Linked DNA regions of Daphnia pulex. The protein of the gene in region 2 interacts with the protein of the main gene of each other region in a pairwise test. Links are inferred from orthologs where the notes say so. Each region holds a gene or a part of one and is shown on either strand. Other genes may lie near its edges.

Region 1 (12,052 bases), on a different chromosome or scaffold from region 2:
ATACTTGATTGGTTGCTATGAAAAGGGCCTCTTAGCCGTTCAAGAACAAGCAGGTAGATTTATTTTTGAAATTTCGTCACTTGAATGTTTTTTTTTTAATTCATTTTTTCCACTTTAAATTTTAGCGATTGTTGGAGGGGTAGGGATAGGCATCGCATTTGTCACGGTACGTACATTAAAGCTATTAAAGTGGATGAACCGTAAACTAATAAATTTTCTTTTGTTTATCGAATGCAGCTAATGGGAATGATTTTTTCGATGGCTCTCTTCAACATGATAAAATAGCGATGAAATGCGTTAGTTTAAACGACGTTATTTTTAAATTTCATTCCATCCCGAAATAAAAGAAAATGATCTGGTTGTTTGCTTGTAATATTAGAGTATATTGTAATTTCGTGATTACTATTGCGTGGTTGCCCACTATCCTGTCAAATGTGAATTCTGCATCTGCATGGTGTGATGCGCTTTTTGTACCCAACGTTCTTATTTCCTTATTCCTCACTAAGAATTCTTTTTCATTTCGTTGGACAACTTTCACGAATTGAGAAAAATCTTGATCATGACGTGCATATGGATTGTCAAACGTGTGAATGGCACCTTTCGACTGTCGTAGTAAAAACACTGTTAGTGCAGTTTCACTCTAGAATCTAAAGTCAATCGAATGTCAATTTTATGACAGACTGGACTCCTCAGAAATGGCTCGATAATTTGTCAACTTTAGTTCTAGTCAGTTGGCATGCACTTTCAATATAATACACATTCTCGGCGTATTTTATTTAAAAATTTGCGAAATTGTGTTCAATCCTTATTTTTTTACTTGTCTGATTTTGAATCTTATTATCCAACTTTCTTCGAGTAAAGAAATATTCTAAATTCTCATAAACTTAAATATAAGAAAAGGGCGAATCAGATTTTAAAAATACACTCAACCGCAGATTGGAACCAGCTTTTTATTCCAACAAATGAACATGCTTTCCTTCAGTTTCATCGAGAAACAACACGGAAAAAACATCATCAAAGAACTCTTTATAGTAAACGCATGCGCGTTTACAGTCCGGAGCCCAGTTAACTTCCAACAACATGGGCTGTATCGATGGTCCACTATCGTCACCATCTAAAAATAGAAAAACAAATTTTTACATGCCCATAAAACTCATGGACGATAACTTTCATTGGTTGTGAAATTTTTAATACGTACCTAGAACATTATCTGTCCACGCTAACATTAAATCGACTGCATACATTGCACGGGATTGCGGGGCGGCAGGAATATGAGGCGCATTATCTTTCTTTTCTACGCTTGATTTCAGCAAAGAAGATAACATGGCAAATATTCTTTTCTCCACTTTGCACCATTCTTGACCTGGATTTTGCTCTTCGAAATAGCGAATGAAGTCATGACAAAACATCTAAATAGTATGTTCAAGAGAGTTAAAAGAAAATGTCAAAATGAAATTACATTCCCTCTTTAAGTACCTGGTGTAAATTGGTAGGCGAATAGTTCATAACCGTGAAGTGGCGTTCATATTCGTCAAAATGATCCAGTTCGAAAGGCTTGTTGGCGAAGCGAATCCAGAATCGCTGATAGACAAAGGCTTTCAAAGGTTCGGTTGAACTGAGAAGAATTATGTAGCGCAGGTCGAACTTGACTTTGGCGTTAACATCTTCTCTATAAAAAAGTACCGGCCTCTCTATATACCGCTGACAAATTTTGGGTCCACTGACGGCTAAACGTAATATCATATCGAGATTGTCAGTGATGTGAGTGTCCATGCTACGCGCTAAATTCCATGGTTTAATGATCCAATAATTCGGTGTTCCCCTGCCAAGAGAAAAAAGAAAACCTACAATACAACGAAATAAATGGATCGCAACAACTCATAACAAAACAAAAAACCCAAACAATAAAATCGATAAATATAAAATGGGATAAATCATCTTACAATTTTTCTTGCGCGAGAAAGTAAGCCACTAGTTTAGGAAGCTCTGTTTTCAAATTAAATGTCGTTGGAAGCCAAGATGGTTCGTTTTCCAAAATTTCTCTTTTGGAACTAATACTGGACCTTCGAGCAATAACGCAAAGTAGATCCTTAACCTGATTTTTTTTTTAAATAACATTATTAGTTGGAAGAAAATCAGAATCACAGAAAACATACAGTCAGCAGATGTTCACAGGGAAATTGATTAATCCGTTTAAACGGAAAGTTTTCGCTTAGCTGCCTAAAAGAGTCAAGAAAAGGGAGTTTTTGAGGTAATTATTAGTTCTAATTTCTAAACGTTTTCAATTACTTGAAATCCTTGAAATGTGATGAGAGCCAAAGAATTTCTGCTTCATCAGAATTATCTACCAATTGAAATCTAGGGTGTTTCAGATAGTCGCGAATGAACACATATTCAACGTAAGTGCGGATAGGTCGATCACTCGGTAGGCCAGGTATTTCAATATCGGCATTCGGAAGCGTTTCGGTCATTCGACTAGCCTTTAAAAACCTAATATTATTAATTTTTAACGATCAACAGAATTATTCGATGTTAAGCTTACGGAGAAGTAGTCCGGTGAAGGCTCGACTTGTTCTAGATCAACGGAAGCAAGGAATTCTTGAGAAAATTCCTCGGACCACGGATGTAATAATGCTGACCGACTAATTTCATCAGCTCCTGAACCTTCAACGAAATCACGGGTAACTTCGTCGTTTTCATCAAGATCACTCAAAGGGAACATGATCGAATAGGTAGCTTGTTCGGACATAAAGAAAAATGGAACAAGACGAACGGTCGGATGATCAGAATGTTGAATCCGTGATCTAATATTTTAGAATAAACAAAGTATTAATATTATTCAGCATACAACTCTGAAATACAAAAAAGAACTACTGCAAAGATCAAAGTAGAAAGTAACATACCCAAATTCATCCAAAATGTACCAGATGGGGAGACGCTCCTCGGCTTCAAGATTTTGGTTACCTTATATTAAATTTAAATTTAAATTTTGAGAATAGTAAAAAAACAAACAAAGCAATAGCATATTAACTACCAATGCTATATGTTTGACTGTACTTCCACATGCTGGCCATAACCTTCTTAACAATTACTTCAATATTATCACTCTCAGCAGAATAAGCAACATCCATGAGGTTACACATCCTAGCAAGGAGGCCTGTGATGTTAAGCAAGTGGCTCCTAACTTGATCTGGTCGAAATGTCCAAGCATGGTCAACAAGATAGATACTAACAAAATAAAATTACATTAAAATTCTGTTATATACATGATACAGACATTTACACGAAGAACATTACTGCTTTGGATCTGCTGCAACAACACCTCCTGAACATGTAACTAGAACTTTCCATTTGTTGAAAGCATTACTCACAACGTTATCATCTTCATCAATTTGTGCTAAGCTAAAGCACTCCCCAGCATCAAAAATCTAAAAATTAAAAAGGAATTGAATTAATTATCATAACCAAATTTGTGTAAATTCTTCAGGAAGTTGTCAGAAACTTACGCTATTCTTTAGCTTCCAATACAAGGTCTCCCAATAAATTTCAGGAACACCAGAGGACTTTAACCTTAAGACACTTGTATGTGATACATGAACATAAATAATAATAGTAATGATTTTACTGTGCTTGATGGAGAGCTATAAAACTTTTCAGTCCTTCCAAGCCATCTGCAAGTTCCAAAGAGGACATTTCCCTTCAAAGTTTAAATTCAATTAAAAACACATTTATTAGTAAGGATATTTTCGATAGCCATGTCATATACCTTTAATGATTAACCACTTTACGTATTTCAGATAATACGAAACACTTTTCAGTTGATTCGCAATTTCGCATATGTCAAAAACAACTTGAATTATTTCTTTCCACGTTGAGAAAGCAGACTGTCGATCGTCTGCTAGGCAGACACCGTTGTCACTTAATGCGTCGAGCAAAAATAAAAAATGCAATTCCAATCCAAAATTCCAACTCCAACAAACCCTAAAAAAGAAAAAAGAAAACTATCTCTCGATAGAATTATATTTATTTTGTCATTTTGTTTTCAAAATTGAAAAAAAAAAACAGAAAAATTTATTGTAAAAGAAATATGACGCACGCGCATATTTTGTAACACCTGCACATGGTTTGTGTCTTGTCTGTTTTGGTCTGGTCGTGGTTTTCAAGTTTTATACATTTCCCAATTCGCATAATTTAAAAAATGGAAAGCAAGACAGGTATCCTTAAATGATTATTATTTTATCCTGACACAAAAATTGTATCAATTTTCTTCTTCCCATTACTTCTAAAATTTTCAGCGTCGATTTCGGGATCAAAAAAGATTTCACTAAAACCCAAAAATGTGAGATCTTCAGCTTATGTTAAACGATTAAAGGTTGCACTAACCAAACAGAAGGTAAATTCTAATTCTGCTCACCAAAGAACACCACTTTCAGCTCCTCAAAGAAAAACTAAAGAGAGAGCATCGATTGCTAGTGATGCAAGACAAAGATTGGAATCTGCACGGTTCAGGTATTTTTTGTTGTTGTTGACAATATTCCAGCCTATCATAACATTTAATTTCAGGTATCTGAATGAAGAGCTGTATACCAAAAGTAGTAGTGAAGCATGGGAACTTTTCCAAGAAGACCCCCAATCATTTGATATATACCACAAGGGGTTTAAGAACCAGGTTTTGAAATGGCCAGTCAACCCATTGGATATCATCATCACTGATCTTATGAAAGGGTAAAATAAAACAAGCCATGTGCTAAAAAATTGCTTTAATTTAACAAATGAAAATTTTTTTTTTAGTCCTAGAAACTGGGTGATAGCTGATTTTGGTTGTGGTGAAGCTCAGATAGCAAACACCATTCCTAATAAAGTTCACTCTTTTGACCTTGTAGCAGCAAATGACAAAGTTACTGCTTGTGACATGGCTTCTGTTCCTTTGGCAACCAAAGCTGTTGATGTGGTATTTCAGCATTATTTATGCATTATAAATTTTGATCAAACAACAGATATTGCTTGTTCAGGTGGTCTTCTGCTTATCTCTCATGGGTTCCAACATACATGACTTTTTAAAGGAAGCTAATAGAGTCCTTAAAATTGGGTAAATGCTACATACAGATTTTAAAAAATAATAATCTTTATTGATGTAATTTTTAAATTACAGTGGTACTTTGTGTGTAGCTGAAGTTGAAAGCAGATGTAGCAATATTAATGATTTCTTGAAAACAATTGAACGTTTTGGATTCCAACTCAAAGAAAATAACGTTCAAAAATACTTTTTTCTCGCAAAGTTTAGCAAGATTCAAAACATGAGTCCCAAAGCAACTATGCCAAGAATATATTTGAAACCTTGTCTGTACAAAAAACGATGAATAGAAAAGTACACATAAATGTTGAACATCATAACAAAGAAACCGACTCATTATATGTTACGAATGTACAGAAACGTATTTGGTTGAAATAGAATGTTTGTTTTAAAAACTGAAAGAAAAATTAGATCACGCGCAGAATTTGTGCATCAACTATTTTGAATGCATGAATGCCAATTCAATCCTCCACATGCTATGCTAACGACAAAATACACAATAACCTACGGAAAAATAGATATTTTCAATTAGATTTCATTTAAAATATTATTCCGAATTTTAGAATGTAGTTCAGGTCGATAAATGGTAAAAAAAAAAAAATTACGAATGAAATAAAGATAGTTATTTAAACTGTAAAACAATTATAACATACCAAAATCACGGCAGCAGTAATTGCTGTTATTTTTATGTTTTTCCAGAACAAGGAATTAGCCAAATTTCGACTTGATTTCCGGAAAGTAACAGCCTAAAAACAATTTAAAATAACTTACTTGGTAAACCAAAGTAAAATTTAAAAATATCTAAAATATACATACTGACGCGCTGAGGCTTTCGGTTTTATTAACCAGTAATTCTAATCTTTCGCCACGTGCCGCTAAGGAATCTAATAATGAGCAAAATTAAATTAAATGGTATTATGTTACTACTGCTGGAGGTTGCAAATTCTTGCTGGCTCGTATTTACACTTTACCTATATTTTTCACCATTACATCTTTCAAGTCGTCCAATTCTCCTTGAACTTGAGAAACGGTATCGATATCTCGAGATTCAGAAAAGTGTTTCTGGTTTTAAAAAAAAAATCTCAGTAATGTCTGAAATAATTGAGAAGAATTTCACGACTTACCATTAGCCCTGCCAAAATTTTCGAAAACTCCGTGTTCATAGCATATGGTAGAGCAGAGTATGCATGGGCTCCAAAAGTATTTACAAATTTCTTTTTAACTTCATTCAAAAATAAAAATGCTCTTGAACGTTCAAATTCCTAAAATAAAGGTTTCTATTTATATATCATCTTCTACAATTGCAGACAATAAAAAAAAGATTTACATCATCTGAGATGCAAAGATAAATTATTCTGTCTTGCAAAATATAGTGGAACAAAAATGATCCATGAGAGTAGGTCATTTTTGAATCATCAAGTCCAATTTGAGCTAGAACTTGCTCTGTGATCTCAGAAAAGTTTCCAGTACAATTATTGGCAAATCTAGCCAAAACAGTGTTTCCTCTACTAACAACACTATATAACAGCGGCATTTTCCTTCTAAAAAATTAACATATGAGATTATGTAATAAAGACTAAATATTTTTTATGGGTCAACTAATCTCATACCAACAAAACTTTCTCGACGATTCAGACGATCTTCAATCCCATCAATAACTTGACGAACGTGTATAAAAAACTGCAGAGAAACTCACGATGGATTACAGAACTTATGAAGGAGCAGATATTATGACACTCAAAAGACGTTGCTATAGTTTTGGATAGTTGTAGGACGAATATAATTAATTTTTGTAAGTATTAAGGATTAAACAACCTATCTTAAATTATCAAATGACAATCCACTCCAGTCAATGACTCAATGTTGACTATTGTCGGAACCACGTTATAGAGTCTATGGTTTGCTCACTCACTAGAGCAGAGCAATAGATACCTGGTCGGTTCTCGGCCGTGTTGGCTTCCCTATCCCGGTTTCAGGGTAAACGTGGTCCGATTTGGAAAAATTGATGAGCGCCTCTAGTGAGTGTGTCAGGTACTACGTGAAGCCAGCCAATCAGGAAGGGTCTATGAAAAACTCATTGACCAATCACAGCTTACTTTTCTACAAGAAGTGAACAAAATAAAAAGGTAGAAGTATCCAACTGTCAAACCTCTAGGTCTTTTCTAAGTGTCCCAACATTCTTACATTTTATTGTTTGGTTGTGTAAATTGTTTATTCTTTGTAAGTGTCCAAACATTCTTACATTTTATTGTTTGGTTGTGTAAATTGTTTATTGTTCCGTTGACATAATACACTACTTCTTGTTTTGAAAATGTACACTTTTCACATTATAATTTTCATTTGGTAGTCGATCCATCGAAATGCAAAAAATCGTTTGTTTAATTTGATCAAAATACCATGTCCAATTCTTTGGTACCATTGATGAAGTTACTAGTGACTGAAATGTCACAAAATTAGACTTGAAATTAGTAGAGCTTGCTTCCATAGAAGGTGATGTAACTGTCGAATCATCAATGACAACAGCAACATTTTCGTTCATTACATCAGGAAGTGGATCAAAAATTGCTTCTTCAGCAGCCTGGTGAGTGTCCATTGATTCTTGAATAGTAGAGGTAGCTTCCATAGAAGGTGATGCAACTGTCGTATCTTCCATGACAACAGCAAGATTTTCCTTGATTGAATCTGGAAGTGGATCAAAAATTGCTTCTTCAGCAGCCTGGGGAATGTTGATTGATTCTTTAATAATTTCCATGGAGGGTGCTATCAGATAAAATTTAAAGCAATTGCTCTTATAAATAAAATGTAACGAGAACTATTATCAATACCTGTACTGTCAAATTTTTTTCTCTTAGACGTAGTAGGTATTTTGTCTACTTTTGGTCGTTTCCTTACTGATGCATTGCTAGCATTTGTTTCCACTACAATACATATTTAAGAATTGCGTTATTTGATATTAAACAAAATAAACATATTTAAAAATACCATTAAGGTTATTTCTCCATTTGAAACCATCAACATTTTGCATTGCTTGTCGACTAGGTGTATCTAAAATGAAAATGGTTCAGTTTCTGTGCTTTACAGATTATACAGGAAATGTAATATCAATACCATTTATCAGAAAATGTTTGGGAATTGCTCCAGCATTACGATTCCTACGTTTGAAAGGATGGAACACGTTCAAAATTTAAATCCCTGATTTGAAGTCACTTTCGTCAAAATGACGGGAGCAAATACGTGAGGTGCTCGTCAAATAACTACATGGAATTAGTTCTCGCCATTTAGATAATGAAGTTTTAGGAATTGCAAACAGGGTAACCTCGTTTTCTTTTTGATTTCCTTTGAAATATGTTGATTTACAACCAGGAACAGCACACCTGCCAACCATTTTTACAGAAATTATGGTTAGGCTTCATTCACGTAATACACGATAATGGCCGCCGTATTCACATATTACACAAAAATGGCCGCCGAAAGTATTATTTGAAAGTCAACGTCTTATCACTAGATGGCGCTGTTTCATTTTTACCACTTCACAACTTCTGACAAGCTCCGCCCTAAAATGTCTGAAAATCGGGGATACGTTTACCCTAAAACCGGGATAGGGAAGCCAACACGGCCGAGAACCGACCAGGTATCTATTGCTCTGACTAGAGTCACTACAGAAAACCCAAAGAGCTCGGCAGTCGGCACCCCAGCGGCCAAACCATAGCAACTTTCAAACAGCGCCTCTCCTCTAAAGTTTTCTCTACTCTAGTCTACTCTATTAAAACTTTATTGAACTTGCTTTTCAAAACCTTTGGGCCTTCTAGAATTATGGAAAAGATGGAGGGAAAAATATATATTTTTAAACTGATAATTAATCCTAGCACACGTTGCTTATTGGCTTTAATACCGGCTTACCCTGTTCCACTTAATCCTAACCCGCCTAACCTATGAGCCCTCCTCCCCAAAAAATCCCAATATTTTGGCTCCTCCCATAAATTTACAAATTTTAAATCTCTCATAACGGAGGCCAAGATATTTGAAAAAATATTGGCATACAATAATAAACAACACTATTAACTTAAGTACCGGAAAGTTTTTAGCTACACCTTTCAATATTAGAGTAAAGGGAAATGGGGGCTTAAAATGTCCCGCTTAATCCCACCCTCCCCTACTGAGTTGAAATGAAAGAATATTGGAATCCTGCCGAAAATTATAACTTAAGAAAAGTATTGATCGTCTAAAACTTTTTTTTTTTTCGATGTTTGCATTGCGCAAGTCGATGCGCATGGCTGATAGCCAAGATGTTTGTAACATTGCGCGATCCCACTGATACATTTACTGAGTGAAGGTCTAACTTTCGAGTGTCTTGAGCCAACTTATCAGCTCCTCTTAATTAACCGAATCGTATTTGGTAAGATCTGGATTTTCTCAATTTTATCAAAACAATTCATGTGCAATAAATTCAAATTCAATGGAAAAATCAAGAAAAAAAATCAAGAAGAACGAGAGGTCATAGATACGAGGAACAGGAAGCTCTTATTAATTGGAAAATATTGAGTGTCGACTTCTTAAATTAAAAATTGGTTCCAATACTTCGAGAGGCTCACCGCTCAAATTTGCGTAATTTTTGTGTAATTTGTTTAGTTTGCTCAAATTACGGGCGTGCGTCTAGATAGACTTAAAATTTGAGTTTTTTTGGCAAGGTGTACGAAGATTTTTTTTTTTTTTGTGGTGAAACCCCTCGAAAGTCTTCACTTTTATTTACTTAAGGCAAATAAAAACCTACAGCAGATTGCCGAAAATTTTTGTACATAACAGATAACACTAACATTCGGATATCTCTTCCACTTCCAAAATTAAAACATCAAATTTTTCGATTGTTTGTTCAGAAAATCATGCTTAGTGAAGCAGAAACTACACCAACCTTGGATGAGCCAAATCTACCGGAATTTTGCGGAGCAACGTTATCTTTAAACAATGCTTCAGGCACTATTTCAAACCAAAAAATCGTAAAGCAAAACCTTTTTTCAAACAACGAAGCAGATCAAATGAAAGAAAGAAAGAAAATAGCTGAACTCCAACCCTGCGGTCCTTCATCAAACTGCGGTACAATTCTATAAGCTTTTTTAAAAATATTATGATGGGCTGACTTCTGACAAAGCTATTGTTTTACTATACCGTAGAAAATGTTCCTTTATCTCCAACTGTTCTCAGCGCTGAAGCTCGTGGTGGTGACGGTCAAATCATCTCACAAGGCTACTTCAGTTCAAGAAATTACATGTTCGCGATCGAAAATTGCAAGAGAATCTTGACTCGAGGAGAACCTGAGAACCATGGGGTTTTCGTAGGAAGTTGGTTGCTAACTATGTAAGACTTTTAACTAAATGTTGTCAAGTATTTTCACTAGCGCTCAAAAATAATTGCAATATTCCAGTACGCGACGAAACACACACGACATTGATTTTGTTTCTTTTTTCGTACCGTAGCTTATTTGAAAAAACCGCGCTTCTTTCGTTTTGAAAAAAAACTTCACTTTCTGATCTGTTTTGTTTCATCTTTTGATGTTTGTTTTCTATTGAGGACTAAAGGGTCGATCACTGGGACAACGAAAAAGAACGACTGATTTTGCTTTATTCTCGAACCTTGTTCATTGTAAAATACGACTTCATCACCACGACTCTTCAAAGCTTCGAGACCTATGCACTCCAGAAAATTATTCACCTTACTATTGGGAATATTGAATACCCAACACACTCAATCACACCGTAAGTTTTTTCCGTTCAAATTTTTTTTTTCTTCAGATTGATGGGCATTGGTTACCAATCAACTGAAATTTGTCACAATCATGTGGATTGCAAGTAAATGTTTCTCTGTGTAAAAATGAGATAAGATTTTAGTGTCTACTTATATCGGATGATTGAAAATTAATTTAGCTTTTGTCGTATTTTTATATGAATATACTTTAGGAAATTCCAATACCTCGCAGATTCTATAACAGGACGATTCTCGTCTATTCTACGAGGTAACTTTAATAGTCAATCGGCATCGGAGCTATTACATAAACGTTCAACAGGTGAAGAAACTCAAACTGACTTCACTTCCGACAGGTAACATAACTAAATCAGACATGACACATTGATACGTTATAATGTAGAAATGTCGAACAAAAGTTTTCAAGAAAGTTCTTGCTTTGGAATTAGATTGAAAAGAAACGGCGTCCGAATTTTGTTTGGGTCCGTGCCGGCAGAACCCAATTTTACCCAGTTATGGAATCCATGGAGCAAGGCAATTCCCTGGTTAACGTTTTTATCGCATCCACTACTTTCAAGTAAAAAGATTGCAATTCTGTTAATCATTATTCGATGGATGTTAACTCTTATTTTTACCTATGAATTTTAGCTGAACACACGACTCCTGCTATATTCGACGTTAAAGATTTTACAGTCAACCTACAGCGAACTTTGCAAAACGAGTACCAGGGTTTAGTTGAATACAAGCCAATTATAATGAATTCGTATTTAGGGCTTCCAGCATTAGTACACAACTACAGTCAATTCGGATTTTACAAAGTACGAGGGAAAGTAAGTTTTTAATACTCCACCCAATCTTCCCAACCAATAGGCTTCAACTTTTTTGTATTTAATTTATTAATGTTTTCGAAGTCCAATACACAAATAAAGAAATCAAACAAGCATGGTCGTCTTCGAAGCTGCACTCTATACTTCTACATTTATTCAGGGGACCAAAGCTTGTAAGTGCGATCGTACGAGGCTGTGGCGATGAACGACCCGTCAGGCGATACATCAACTGCCATAACCTGTAACAATAAAATAAAAAAATTGAGAAACACATCACAAACGTATCTGATTAAAAAATTTACTTTTCCGTCATGTCCCGAAAGGGTTTTCAATGGTTGCCAAGTGTTACTCGCCCATATCTAGGGCAGAAAATTATTTCAAATATATATAGATGACAAATGTAACATTTAAAGAA
Region 2 (12,102 bases):
GAGGAGTCGTAAAAGCTATTTAATCCTTTTCCATACAGTCCTAAATCAGATTTTTCCTTAAGCCTTTGAATATCCTGTTCCAATTTGAATTATTAACACAATTACCATAATAGTTTTTGAATCAGTAATCAATACCTTAACAGAAACTGGAATTGGAATGTCTCCAAGTTTGTCAACTTTTAGAGGATTTGAGGTAGTTCTATCGAAAAACAGTTTTTCCCCATTTGCAAAGTCAACTTCAGCACCTTTTTTCTGAAGATTAACAGCTTTGAACAGGCGTTCTTTGTCAACTCCAGTGCTTTGGACATAGGGAACAAGACCATTTTCCAAGACACCAGGCATATTGTGTGATGCTCCCCGAGGCATAACATCTTCAAAACTTCCCATCCTTCAAATGGTTTGGCCAGTTATCTGATTTTTACCTTAACCACAAGAAAAAAAAACAGTCAATACAAGTAAGAAAAATGATAATAGATTTCATGTAGCATGAATGTATGGGAAAATTAATGGAAGGATCAAGAATTAGAAACTGAGTTACACTTAAAACAAACTTCTAACATGCAACTTGATGGCTCTGATGGCTGATGCAAAAAATATAATTCCAAATGTTAGAAGTTATAACTCTCCAAAAAGATATATGATTTAGAACTGCAAGGGAGCGATAAGGTATAAAAATGACACTTACAAATTACACCTGAGAAAAGGACAAATTAAAAGAATAAAAGCAAGGCATATATGAGAAAAATTGCGGGGTCACTCACATAACATACTCCGATGTAGTGGTGGCATTACTCGGTAGTAATACCTAGTATTACCTAGTTACCTAGTAATACCTAGTTTTTTTTCAGCTACTTTTACCTAGTTTTCGGGAAAAAATCTATTACTAGGTATACCTAGTAATAGTAATACCTAGTTTTTGAAAAATGATTACCTAGGTAATTACCTAGGTATTTTCCATTTTTTTGCAGCATTGTCAAATAAATGGCAACTCTGCTTTTATTTCATTTTACTAGGCTTCTTTGGTTTCTGCATAGCTATAGATGCCTGGTCGGTTCACGGCTGTGTTGGCTTCCCAATCCCGGTTTCAGGGTGAACGTGGTCCGATTTGGAAACTGGAATGAGCGCTCTAGTGAGTGTGTCAGCTACTACGCTCAGCTACTTTTGAGAGCCTAGATGGCTCTGTTTCACTTCACAATTCTGACAGGCCCCGCCCTAAAATGTCTGAAAATCGGGGATTACGTGCAGTATCTCGCCATGCCAGCTACTTCTGCCTCTGCAGAGCGTCTTTTTTCGTGTAGTGGTCTTTCTTGCAAAGGCAAGAAAATAAATGTCTCCCCTGTCTTGGTAGAATCGCAAACACTTTGCCGATTCAACAAAAACTTTGACTTCTGAATCTGAATTCTCAGTCTCTAATTTTCAATTTCCGTTCTTATCGCTTAGTCGTTAGTCCTTTCTATCCTATCATTGATCTTAGCGGGACAGAAATTGCAATAAAAAGAAAAAAATTCAGTTGCAAGTTTTGTATTTGTGTTGTTTATGTAATTTCGAAGTATAAACAGAGAAATATCCAAACTAGGTAACTAGGTAACTAGGTATTTTTACCTAGTTAGTTACTTTACCTAGTTACCTAGTTTATACCTAGTAATAGTAAAAACCTAGTTTTTTTTTCCGATACCTAGTTTAATTTATTTTGTTACTAGGTATTACTACCTAGTAATACCTACTTTTTCTCAAATACTAGGTATTTAGTAATAGTAATACCTAGTTTTCAAAAAAAACTAGGTTGCCATCACTACTCCGATGACTGCCAGTTCATTTGACGCCTTCAGCTCAGCGGCTCTGCGGTCTGCCTCCTTTTTTCAAAGGGTCTTTTTGATTTCCCCCCTTGGGCTGGACTCAGGTGCATAGTTGTTCGTTAAACTGCTAGATGGCGTGGTAGTATCAATCGGTATCCGTTATGTACGAAATCGATTATTATCTGATAATATATCGCCTGTCAGACCATGAAATTATTATCGTTTATTATGATCAAAAGTGCTCTTTTCAAATCATGCCGATTTCTCGTGTTTCTTCATTAATCGTGTTTTTTGTGTTTCTAAGAACATTACAAGGTGTTGAAAGTGAAGTTCGTACATTTTCAACCAGTACCTTTGAAACCAATTGTTCGTCTTTGCAACTGGAGCAGTATTTCTGCAGTCCCGAAATCGATCCGTCAACTCAACAGCCTAAAGGATGTAGCAAAAACAACTTGGCTCACAGTATATGATTTTACCACCTAATAAAACATAATTATTTGTTGACATCATACAACACTAGAATAGAGCCTGTAATTTACTCAGAGGGGCCTGTTATTTTGTATACAATGAAGAAACTTGTTTGTTTCTTCTGTTGAATGAAGTCTATTGAAATATATCTATAAAGACTGAATTGTAACAATAAATTTACACTAATCTGTATTGTTGTTCACAGCTATATGCATGGCAGCAGATGGGATCCAATGTGTGGAGAGTGGAAACAACACTTTTCCAAAAGAAATTCCATGTTTATGGACGTATGAAATTTCAAATTTACCTTTAGTTGCACACCTATGCAAATGTTATGTTGCAATCTATTTTACCAGTATTGATTATTTATATATTTCAGAAATGGATACTCATTTGAGACATCGTTGCTACTCTCAGTGTTTCTTGGAATGTTTGGTGCTGATCGATTCTACCTGGGGTACCCAGCAATAGGTCTTTTTAAACTGTGCACATTGGGTTGCATGTTTCTAGGTAATATTTTTATACAACATTTAATAAACATTTGAATAACATTAACCTAAAAATAGGTCAAATTGTGGACATCATATTGATTGCTACTCAAACTGTTGGACCTGCTGATGGATCTCATTATATAATTAACTACTTTGGACCCAGGCTTTCACGTCTAGAACTTGATAATGATACTTACCGAATGCCTCAGTTTGATTGGCCAGAACTTTGAGATTGTGAATTTTTAATTCATACATTTTTTTTTTTTTTACTTTTCCTGTTTCAAACAAAAAATTTAGATTTGAAATAATTAGATTTTCTGTGATATGTATAAACTTAATTTTCAATTTTAACAAAATTATAGCTCAAGTTATGTTTTCTGACTTAATAGTACCCTGATGATGTACGTAAAACACTATTGGATAACGTACAAATGTTGAATACGCAAATATTACTTAACCGACAAATGAAGCGGAATACTCGAACTGTCGAACATCTCTGATGCGTCGCCAAAAAGCACAGACAACTGCATATAGTAGGCTAATCCCTCCTTCAGGCGAAATACCAACTTGGATCTAACAAGTAATTCGTGTACACCCCGAAAAACTCCTGAAACAGTGACAATGAAAAAATGATATAATGCTTGTTATAGACTATTACTACCATGGAATTATTTAATACTCAGTAGAAGAGAGTGGGCACTTTTCCTTCTGGTACATTTAAGAGCTGCCATCCGTATGATGTTACAAACTACTTTAACCAGGGGATGAATTCCAGGTTAAGAAAAAGACTGCAACTCGTTCAAAGAACCTTATTTCCTCCCATGCCGTGCCCGATGAAGCTTTAGCTCATCATTGAATGTGGTCAGATATTCAGCGGAGATGCCAACACAATTTATTTATTTTTTTCGAAATTTGCTAGCTACATAAATTTTGGTATCACATAAAAATCCCCAAAGCCGTCAGCTGAATCAGGTCTACGCACATATAGCCGGGTCACAATCCTAGTAGGTAAATTTTAACGTAGGACTGATGCAAGTTGCAAATTTCCAAGACACTGTATAAAAATGTTTTACACGCAATGTAAATGAATAAGGGAATAAAAGAATAAGTGATGATCACTCAGTTTTTGTGCAGTCTGTAGTCATGTTAAAGAAATTTTAATAATTAAAAAATCATCATTCAGCAGCAAAAAAAGCATCATTATAGTGTTGTGAATAAATTAAGTTTGCTTCATGCAGCGCTCCACATATTCGGTTTTAGACATCGGTCAATGCAGCGGGAGCAGAGATGGATTGGACCAGGGAGGTGATGCAATCATTTTAGGTTCCATTCAAGATGAGAACTGCATCCTAACATGGCAGCTACAATCTTTGTAATTTCAGCATGATTAATCATTTGAATGAGAATATAATTATGGTTTGCACAAATTTACCTGCCATTGCTGTTGTTTGTCAATTTCTTCCATTTGTGCTCCAGCTTCAAATATTATTGGAAGCCAAAAAGATTGAAGCTGATTAGGATCCATAAGGCAGAACAGCAAAGGAATAAAAACCTAGTGAAAACCTTTTTATAAGAAATAACCGTTACATGGCTAAATGCTGGTTAAGAGATGACAAATGCCAAACAAAGACTATAAGCTTAGTTTTTAATTTAACAAACCTTTAGTGGATGACAATTGGCCAAAAGAGTTTAGTAGTTTTTTTTTTTTTTTTTTTTTGCTGCAGACGATGCCGAGTCGGTGTGACTTATTTTGTAAACATCAGTCTGCTCGTGCAAGTGCTGCCACCTCTGAGCCTCATATCAAAGACATTGCTGGAGTAGGGCATTAGGGCAATCTTCTCGTTGCGCACCTAAACTCTAACCAATTAAAAATTTAATAAACCTGTAACAGTATCATATTTTGTAAATAGCACATATCACGAAAATATAAATAAATGGATAAGAATTAAATCTGGATTGGAAAACGTCTGGGATGCCCGCCCAGGGAGCAGGGACTTGAACGACTAAGGACCTGCTATCATGCTGCTATGGACTAACATAGATGATTGCTCCGTTCCAAAGGTTTAGAAAAAATAGTAATTTATAATAAGTTATCAATTTACGTATAATCTAGTCAAAACTCACGCAAAACACTAAAGGGTTTCCGTTTTCGCGTTCATTTATTCCTTCAGCGTTGCGGATTTCATTACTTCTAATCTTCTAAAGGTAGCAATTTAGATTTTTATTTGCTAATGTCAGAAAATCTTTCTTATTATTTCGACATTAAAAAATTTTCTATTATTCATTTTTGCATTTCTTATAATCAATAAACTGGTAAACAATATGTAGTTGACGACTGCTATGGTGACTACCACATGATGACTACCATATAGTTACTTTCTCTTTGGACTCAAATCACTCGGCATTACTAGCAACCTGTATTATTGGTTATTTTCTAGATTAGCTTTTCTCTATGGGAAACGATAGACAAATTCACCCAACGTATAATATCTGTACTATATAAATCCAATCATATCATCAATCAATATATGGGTTGTATTTTTTAACAAAAAGTATGCGGTCGATTGCTTGGTCATGTGCCGAGCGCAACCGACAAGTTTCTCTTCTCAAAGCTCATTTGGTTTCACATATTGTAGTGACAAAACAACATGTATGTAAGTTTATTCTCCATATAGCTTTTCTGTGTGCACAGTGGCCCAAGTGGTATCAAACTAAATTGACAAGAATTGAAACTCCCGCTCCCGGAAAATTAATCCTTAGTGGATATGACGTTTCTCTAAACACCCATAAAATAAAATTGGCTAGTTATTTCTATTTTAATTCAATTAAGTAAATAATCTCACTAAAAACTAGCTGTATGGAATTAAAGTTTTCTCTTTTGAGTTTAAAGAATTTTCTTTTGATAACAGCCCGATTGTTTGCTTTTATAGCTCCTAAATGGTCGAACGAAAAAAAAAAGGTAACGTGAAACCAATTTCTTTTCGATTTCAGACTTTGATTTACTGTTGCGTTCACCGCGAATTTTTTCCGGGAATTTTTTTTTCAGATTATTTTGTCTTGTGAAAAAGGAGGTACCTTGGCTTGTATAAAGAAATACACAAGTGAAAATACATACAATATCATCCAAGTCAACTTTCTCCGCAGCACTGCCCCCTCCCTTTTGTAAGCATTTCAACTCGATTCCATCGGACAACAGGGTGTACAACAACAACAAGAGCTAAGAGGCGACTTTCATCTCCGGGCTGAATGTTTGTGAGTGTGTGTGCTGTCGCCGTCATCCTGCAGGCTTTGCTGGACTTGTAAAGCAACAGCTTTCTCGTCAGAACGTCTTGAGAAGAGTTGTGCAGCGCAAGTCAATAGCATGTCCTCTTCCGTGTGTTACGTCGCCGTATTTTCTAAGCTGCTGCTGCTGCTGTTTGTTCTTATCGCATCAGTGTTGATCCAATCAGTGGCGCCCAATGTCTTTTTCCCGGTGGAAACGAGCAGGGATTTAGTTCAGTACCGATCGTTGAAAGATATTCTCTTCCGATCGCAATCGGAAGACAACGACCAGCAGCATTCCATCCAATCGCCGGTCGTGGCCAGTTTCCGGCCAGCCAATCCCAGTCCGACTTTGGCTTCTTCGCCTCACAGTGGAGCAGTTGGCGTCTCTAAAATTCGCTTCCTGGATGCGGATGAGTTTTTCGTCCCTAATTTTTCGCCGGTTCCGCATTCCGAATTCATTCCACCGGCGGCTCAAACTGAAGGGAGAAGGGCCAATTCACCTAATTTGAATCCCGATCACACCACTATCGTCAGACAGGCCAAAAGCCCAGAGATTAATCAATCTCCCATCGGTACTTCGGTCACTGGTAGTCCTGCTCAGGATCGCTGGCCATGGCCTTACTCGAAGCCCATCAAACAGGCGGTGAATATTCAGAGTCGCCAGCAACAGTCTCCATCTTTAATTGTCAAAAAATCGGTGGCCAAACCTTATCGGCTGCTAACCAGAACTTCATCTTGCCCTAAACTGCTGCACGACTTGACCATTACCTGCTCTTGGCCAAAGCAGCAGCAACTTCAGCAACCAGTGGTAAATTTGAATTTTCCAATTATTGCATTGAATTATTTGGCTATTACTTAAATTACTTTAAGAGCGGATATGTTAGAGCGTAACTTAATTTTTAGCCTACATTTTCTTGTTCGAGGAAAGTTCCGTCATGTCCAAAAAGAAACATTTTATGGGTGGCAATAAGTTGTGTTGGTCAGGAGAAATATATAGTGAACCAGCTGTGTAGATAGTGTGCTGCGGCTTTCTACGCATGTCCCAGCACGGAAATGGATATTGCTGTTTGCTTATGCGTGAAAAGGGATATTTACATTGCTGGCAATGCGAAAAAAAAAACATGTGGTTATCTATGGACTGCATATAGCCAAAAGCCATCACCTAAATTGAAGAATAGTATTTGAAGAGCGGCCAGCAACTCCAAAAGCGGCAGCGATAGACACAGCCGGGGGATTTTTACTTTCTCCAACACTTTCTCCAGCGCTGGCGCTGTAGGCGGAGAACGTGCGATGCATGTAATGGGGTGCTGCATTACCCACGTCTGTATATGCTGTGCTTCAAGTTATATAATAACGCCACGAAAAAACTCCATTTAAATAATAAATTGTTGGATAGTTTGGAAGAGTGAAAAATGGGGGCCCAAATGGAACTTTAAACGATTTCATTCTTAGATTTTAATTAGTGAAACACACGCCATTAGTTTATCCTTAAACCGGAGGCGAAATAATAAGTGGCAATGGTTTCGTTCGACTTTTTCCTTCTGTTTTTTAAAAACGAAAGAGAAATGTCCAGGGAGAACGTGTGCTGGATGGTTGAACGCAACAACACAATATCTTTTTATATTGCACTTCTGTTCATCTTATTCTTTTAGATTGACGAAGCATTTCCTTAGCTGTTACTACATCTTGACTCCTAATTCTTGAAACCTGCTAGTATTTTCACAACTTGCAAATTAGAAGTTTCTTACTTGCATAATAAGAAAGCTCGTCTAGACGACGTGCAAGAAAGTTAACATTTTTTGTGATGTCAGTCTCAAAGATGGAAAAAACCTTTTTGGCGATTTCGTTTTTCTAATGGTTGGTAGCTAAAGGACCTTCCGCATCAGAAAGCGTGAAATACTAAACCTAGATTATTATAAAGACATTGTCAACTTTTAAAAAAGTTACCTCTTCGTAAAATGTCTAGTCATAATTATTTGTTTTATTACAATGCAGGAGTTTCAATGGTACAAAACGCAACACAGAAGTGTGGCCGAAACGCAAAACAATTTGCTGGAATCTACAATTAAAACACCGATCGCTTTTGGAACTCAAATGATCCACAAGGTAAATTATTATCTAGAAATATTTAATTTGTTCTATACTTTAATTAATTTCATTTGATAGGATCCCCGTTATGGAGTGTCCGTCGTTTCCGACTCGGCTTACCTGACCATCCGCCAATTGAAACCCCAAGATTGTGGGTCTTACATCTGTGAGGCGGTGGATGTCCACAATGCGACAGTCATATCTAATACTGAATTTCTCATTTTCTTATGCTACTAAAAGTTTGTTACGCCCAGGTATTTAGTTTTTCTCTAGCAGGTATACCCATTGTAGTAAAACTGGATTTTACTATGCATGCTTGTAATCGGATTTATATACGCTTTTGTACTGTTTGTTTTTTTTCTTTCTTTCCTTTCTGTATCTCAGATTAAACAGTCTCAAAAGGACGCCAATTATACATTAAGATAATCAACCAAATTGTATATTTCTCTTTCGCTGTTGTTTGTTTTGAAGTTTACGGAAGCTGAGCACAAGATGATTCATGACCACCGATCCAATTGCGCTTCACCATCTCGCCCAACCCTTATCCACTTAGAAAAATACAGTAACATGTTAAGATTGGATTGACATTAGAATTCAACTTGGAATAGGTTAACAACTTCAAAAAGGCTCTTTTTTTTTCTCTCTTTTCGGCTTTTCGGTTATAAACTTCCCTTCAGGTTTTGCATTGAAACATCATCTTAGGTTTAATGCGTCAAACCGGATCGACAGGAGCGACACGTTTTGTATTAAGCAAACATTTGCCGCATTTCTTCCATGACCGACGATACCAACGACGGGTTACTGCTCTTTCCGTAAATGCTCAGCCGACCATCCGCCTAATTACAATTGATAGATTATTAAATAAAAATCTGGCAACACACCTAAATCATTTTCTAGCTGCAAATACCTGTGATTTCATGAGAATGCAGAGATGATGAGCGGTGGAGTGGCGACAGTATAACGAGGCGGATGTTCCCGAACTATCCATTTCGACTAAACGCATATTAAGCTCTCTACTGACACGATCAATCGCCTATAGACATTTAGAATTCACGTATTAAAAATTAATAATAGATTAAAAGACCAATCTTTAAAAAATGGCTGTACCTGAGATAAAGCAATTCCTTCGCACACTGCCTTGTCTTTGCCGATCAGTTCCTGGGAAGCCAATAATTCGGCAAATTGATCGCCACTGATGGGGTCAGAAGAGAGGAAGACGCTACATGGAATTTGCAGTTTGAAATCCAACTTTTCCGAGACAGATCCGTTTTCTCCCTTCACATTTATAGCAAAAGAATTCAATTAATATCACCCGAGGGGGAAAATTAGTAGTATTTGGTAGACTTGATACCTGAGTCATGTAGGTCAAAACACCTCTGAGCTGGTGCAGCATGGTGCTGTCGGCGACAGCGAAAGCAAATGGAATTTCGACTCGGCTTTGGCTGGCTAACTGGTGAGGCAATTCCACCCCGTCTTGCTCGTGCTGCCCACGGCATAGACGGGCGTTGGTAGAGTCGACCACATTAAAGATCATCGAATGAATCAGTTTGCCACTGCGATTGTGGAGCTGTACCGGGACTAATACTTGGTGCTGATCGTGAGGTACAGCGACAACACGATATTTCTGCAACAAACAAAAGTGAAATGAACAACTATAAACGATTTCGGGTTACCTATGGTTGAATTTTTACCATGACGAGACGTTTGTCATCTACTAAGGATTTCCACGCAATCGCGACCGGAGCAATGACACTATCCGACAGATGATTGTTTTGGTCATCAAAGTCTTTGATGTCCTTCTTCTTCTTTTCTTTTTTGGCTTTCTTCTCTTTCTTGTCTTTCTTTTCCTTCTTGTCTTTTGTCTTCTTGGCCGTCTTCTGGGAGTCGGCCGCCGTGGCAGTTTCATCGATGGTCAGTTCACCTTTCGCGACGACTTTCTTTTCCTTGGCGTCGTTGCCGTTGCTGGCCGACAACCAAAAGTCAAGATCGTCATTGAGGTTAACGCCCTTAGTCGTCGGTGGCAGCGGCGGCGGTGCATTCTCCTCTTTCTCCTGTTTCGTTTTCTTTCTCTTGGCTTTCTCTTCCTTGAGACCTTCTACCCCGTTTCTCGACTTGGGTTTCTTGGATTTGGCTGGGATTGGTGGCGCAGCTGCCGGTTCCAGGGTTACTCGCACCACCGGTTTTTCTTTCGGATAAGAATGGCTGTGGGAAAAATGGCAAATGGCAAAGAAATTCCCAAAAAGTAGAGCGTGAAATTACATAACAACCAAATGAAAGCCAAGCCCATAATAAAAAAAACATACTCTTCTAAATCAATGTTCAATGCGCGGTGGGGGTCCGTCTGTGGTCGCCCATCGTCTTCAGAGTCCGACAATCGCGCTCCTTCCGGCAACTCCATGGTAGATATCACTTGTGGAGCAACAATCTCGGCGGCGGCCTCTTCCTCGTCGCTGGAACCTATTATAACCAGAGAGGATAACAATCAAACGTTATTACACTGCAATAAAAAATATTGTTGAATTGAACAGGTATTTACCCTTCTTTTTCTTCTTTTTCTTGTCCCGCTTGGATCGATGTTTCTTGGAATCGGAAGACGCTTCCTTGTTTCGTTCGAGCTCCAAGTATTTGTCGGAGAGTTTCCTACTAGTGGAGACCTGAAGTGGAACGGACAAGTTGATGGACATGACGGGGATCTCTTCGGTCGGAGATAATAATTGCGAGGAAGACGAAGGTGACCGTCGCGCTTGGCTGGAACCCTTGAGATAATGCGGGTTGCTGGCCTGCTCGACGCGAAGGGCTTCGCGGCGCACCTGCTGCTGCCGAAGCGTCTGCTGGCGGACGTCGTCTGACTGGGCCTGGTCACCTTCGTCGTAAACGCCTTCGCCTTGGTAGCCGTCGCGGAAGTCGGGCGCGGATGTGCTCGACTTGTAGAAAATATCAAGGGACCCTCCTCCGTCAGCTTTGGGTTCTTCGTCCGACTCTGGTTCCGGTTCGTTGATCCAGGCGTCCAAATCCAAACTAAACGAGCAGAAATTGTAAACCAAAAGTTTCTCAACGAAACGGTTTTTTCAAATTTGTGGCTTACCCTTCAGGTAATGGAACTTTGCGCTGAGCTTTAGGCGCTACTGGATTCAGCTCGCCTTGGAAGAGCTGCATCAATTCGTTGACAACGTCTCCTTCGCCAGCGTCCTGCAATTTGGAAATCACTTTGAGGACGTGGACAGCGGTGCTGGCGCGCTCCTGAACCTCCAAATCGGCACTTTGCATGAACGGAGTCAGTCGCTCTTGAAGGACACACAGCATCTTTCAAGACAAAAACAGGGAAATGTTGAAATAGAATTTGAATTGGATGAAGCCATAAACAAAATTTAGTACCAATTGTGCTTTCTCTTTCTCATCCGCCGTGGATGCTTTGTGAAGAATGTGAGCGTAAAGCTTCATCAGATTGTGGATGAAAACAGCTTGAATGTGACCAGGGAGTACAGTCACTTTGCTTTTCAATATACATTCTAAAACTGCTTCGGGCTCTTTAAGATGCCTATAAAAATAAAAGATATTATTTAATTGTTTCCAACGGAGTTACACAAAAAATCCTTACGATGCGAATTCTCCACAGATCCAGGCGGCTGCGTAAAGCACTTCGCACATGGAAGAGAAGGCCACTTGTCCGGTGATTCCACGAATAGCAAAGCCACTCGATGTTTCCAACAAGAGAGCCATTTGTTCAACAGAAAATGGACGAATGGCAGGAACGCGGATCGCTACATCCATCAGCTGAGAAGCCACAACGTGACCCTGGCGGAGGCCTTCCATTCGACTCAAATCCACCAAAACGCTTATGTACCTAAAAAAAGGAAGAGATGGAGCGGTTGAGTTTTTCAATCAATTCATTCACTACGAGTACTCTAGAATACCATTCAAAATTGGTAATGAAATGATAATTATCTTGAGAGCAAATTTCGATGATTTTAGAAAGAAGCTCGTCACGGTACTGC

Evidence for each region.
Region 1: the proteins of AP-3 complex subunit delta-1-like (region 2) and vesicle-associated membrane protein 7-like interact in a two-hybrid assay, tested with the Homo sapiens proteins (2 studies listed by BioGRID and IntAct). The link is inferred for Daphnia pulex from reciprocal best matches to the Homo sapiens genes AP3D1 and VAMP7.

The regions. Positions count from the first base shown.
Region 1 is NC_060018.1:6,533,694-6,545,745, reverse strand, and holds vesicle-associated membrane protein 7-like, read right to left. Parts: upstream 6,977-12,052; 5' UTR 6,890-6,976; intron 6,755-6,889; 5' UTR 6,685-6,754; intron 6,616-6,684; 5' UTR 6,609-6,615; coding exon 6,402-6,608; intron 6,337-6,401; coding exon 6,199-6,336; intron 6,137-6,198; coding exon 6,046-6,136; intron 5,959-6,045; coding exon 5,891-5,958; intron 5,821-5,890; coding exon 5,728-5,820; intron 5,579-5,727; coding exon 5,507-5,578; 3' UTR 5,361-5,506; downstream 1-5,360. Other genes in the region: tetraspanin-9-like, read left to right, coding at 1-53, 126-166, 238-285; tubulin--tyrosine ligase-like protein 12, read right to left, coding at 951-1,114, 1,199-1,409, 1,477-1,822, 1,944-2,095, 2,157-2,220, 2,290-2,480, 2,543-2,804, 2,904-2,964 and 4 more; ribosomal RNA-processing protein 8-like, read left to right, coding at 4,199-4,214, 4,296-4,725, 4,792-4,951, 5,013-5,089, 5,153-5,360; uncharacterized protein LOC124188813, read right to left, coding at 7,368-7,834, 7,900-7,992, 8,057-8,099; tumor protein p63-regulated gene 1-like protein, read left to right, coding at 9,955-10,165, 10,243-10,426, 10,648-10,824, 11,026-11,166, 11,260-11,387, 11,459-11,652; U4/U6 small nuclear ribonucleoprotein Prp4-like, read right to left, coding at 11,790-11,876, 11,940-11,996. UniProt on the Homo sapiens protein: Involved in the targeting and/or fusion of transport vesicles to their target membrane during transport of proteins from the early endosome to the lysosome. Required for heterotypic fusion of late endosomes with lysosomes and homotypic lysosomal fusion.
Region 2 is NC_060021.1:782,367-794,468, reverse strand, and holds the end of AP-3 complex subunit delta-1-like, read right to left. Parts: coding exon 12,022-12,102; intron 11,952-12,021; coding exon 11,706-11,951; intron 11,646-11,705; coding exon 11,483-11,645; intron 11,411-11,482; coding exon 11,193-11,410; intron 11,126-11,192; coding exon 10,644-11,125; intron 10,565-10,643; coding exon 10,411-10,564; intron 10,310-10,410; coding exon 9,799-10,309; intron 9,732-9,798; coding exon 9,459-9,731; intron 9,383-9,458; coding exon 9,215-9,382; intron 9,141-9,214; coding exon 9,015-9,140; intron 8,944-9,014; coding exon 8,854-8,943; 3' UTR 8,531-8,853; downstream 1-8,530. Other genes in the region: uncharacterized protein LOC124194977, read right to left, coding at 1-74, 136-387; TM2 domain-containing protein CG10795-like, read left to right, coding at 2,051-2,258, 2,470-2,551, 2,644-2,774, 2,831-2,985; uncharacterized protein LOC124194089, read left to right, coding at 6,117-6,827, 8,015-8,125, 8,186-8,344. UniProt on the Homo sapiens protein: Part of the AP-3 complex, an adaptor-related complex which is not clathrin-associated. The complex is associated with the Golgi region as well as more peripheral structures.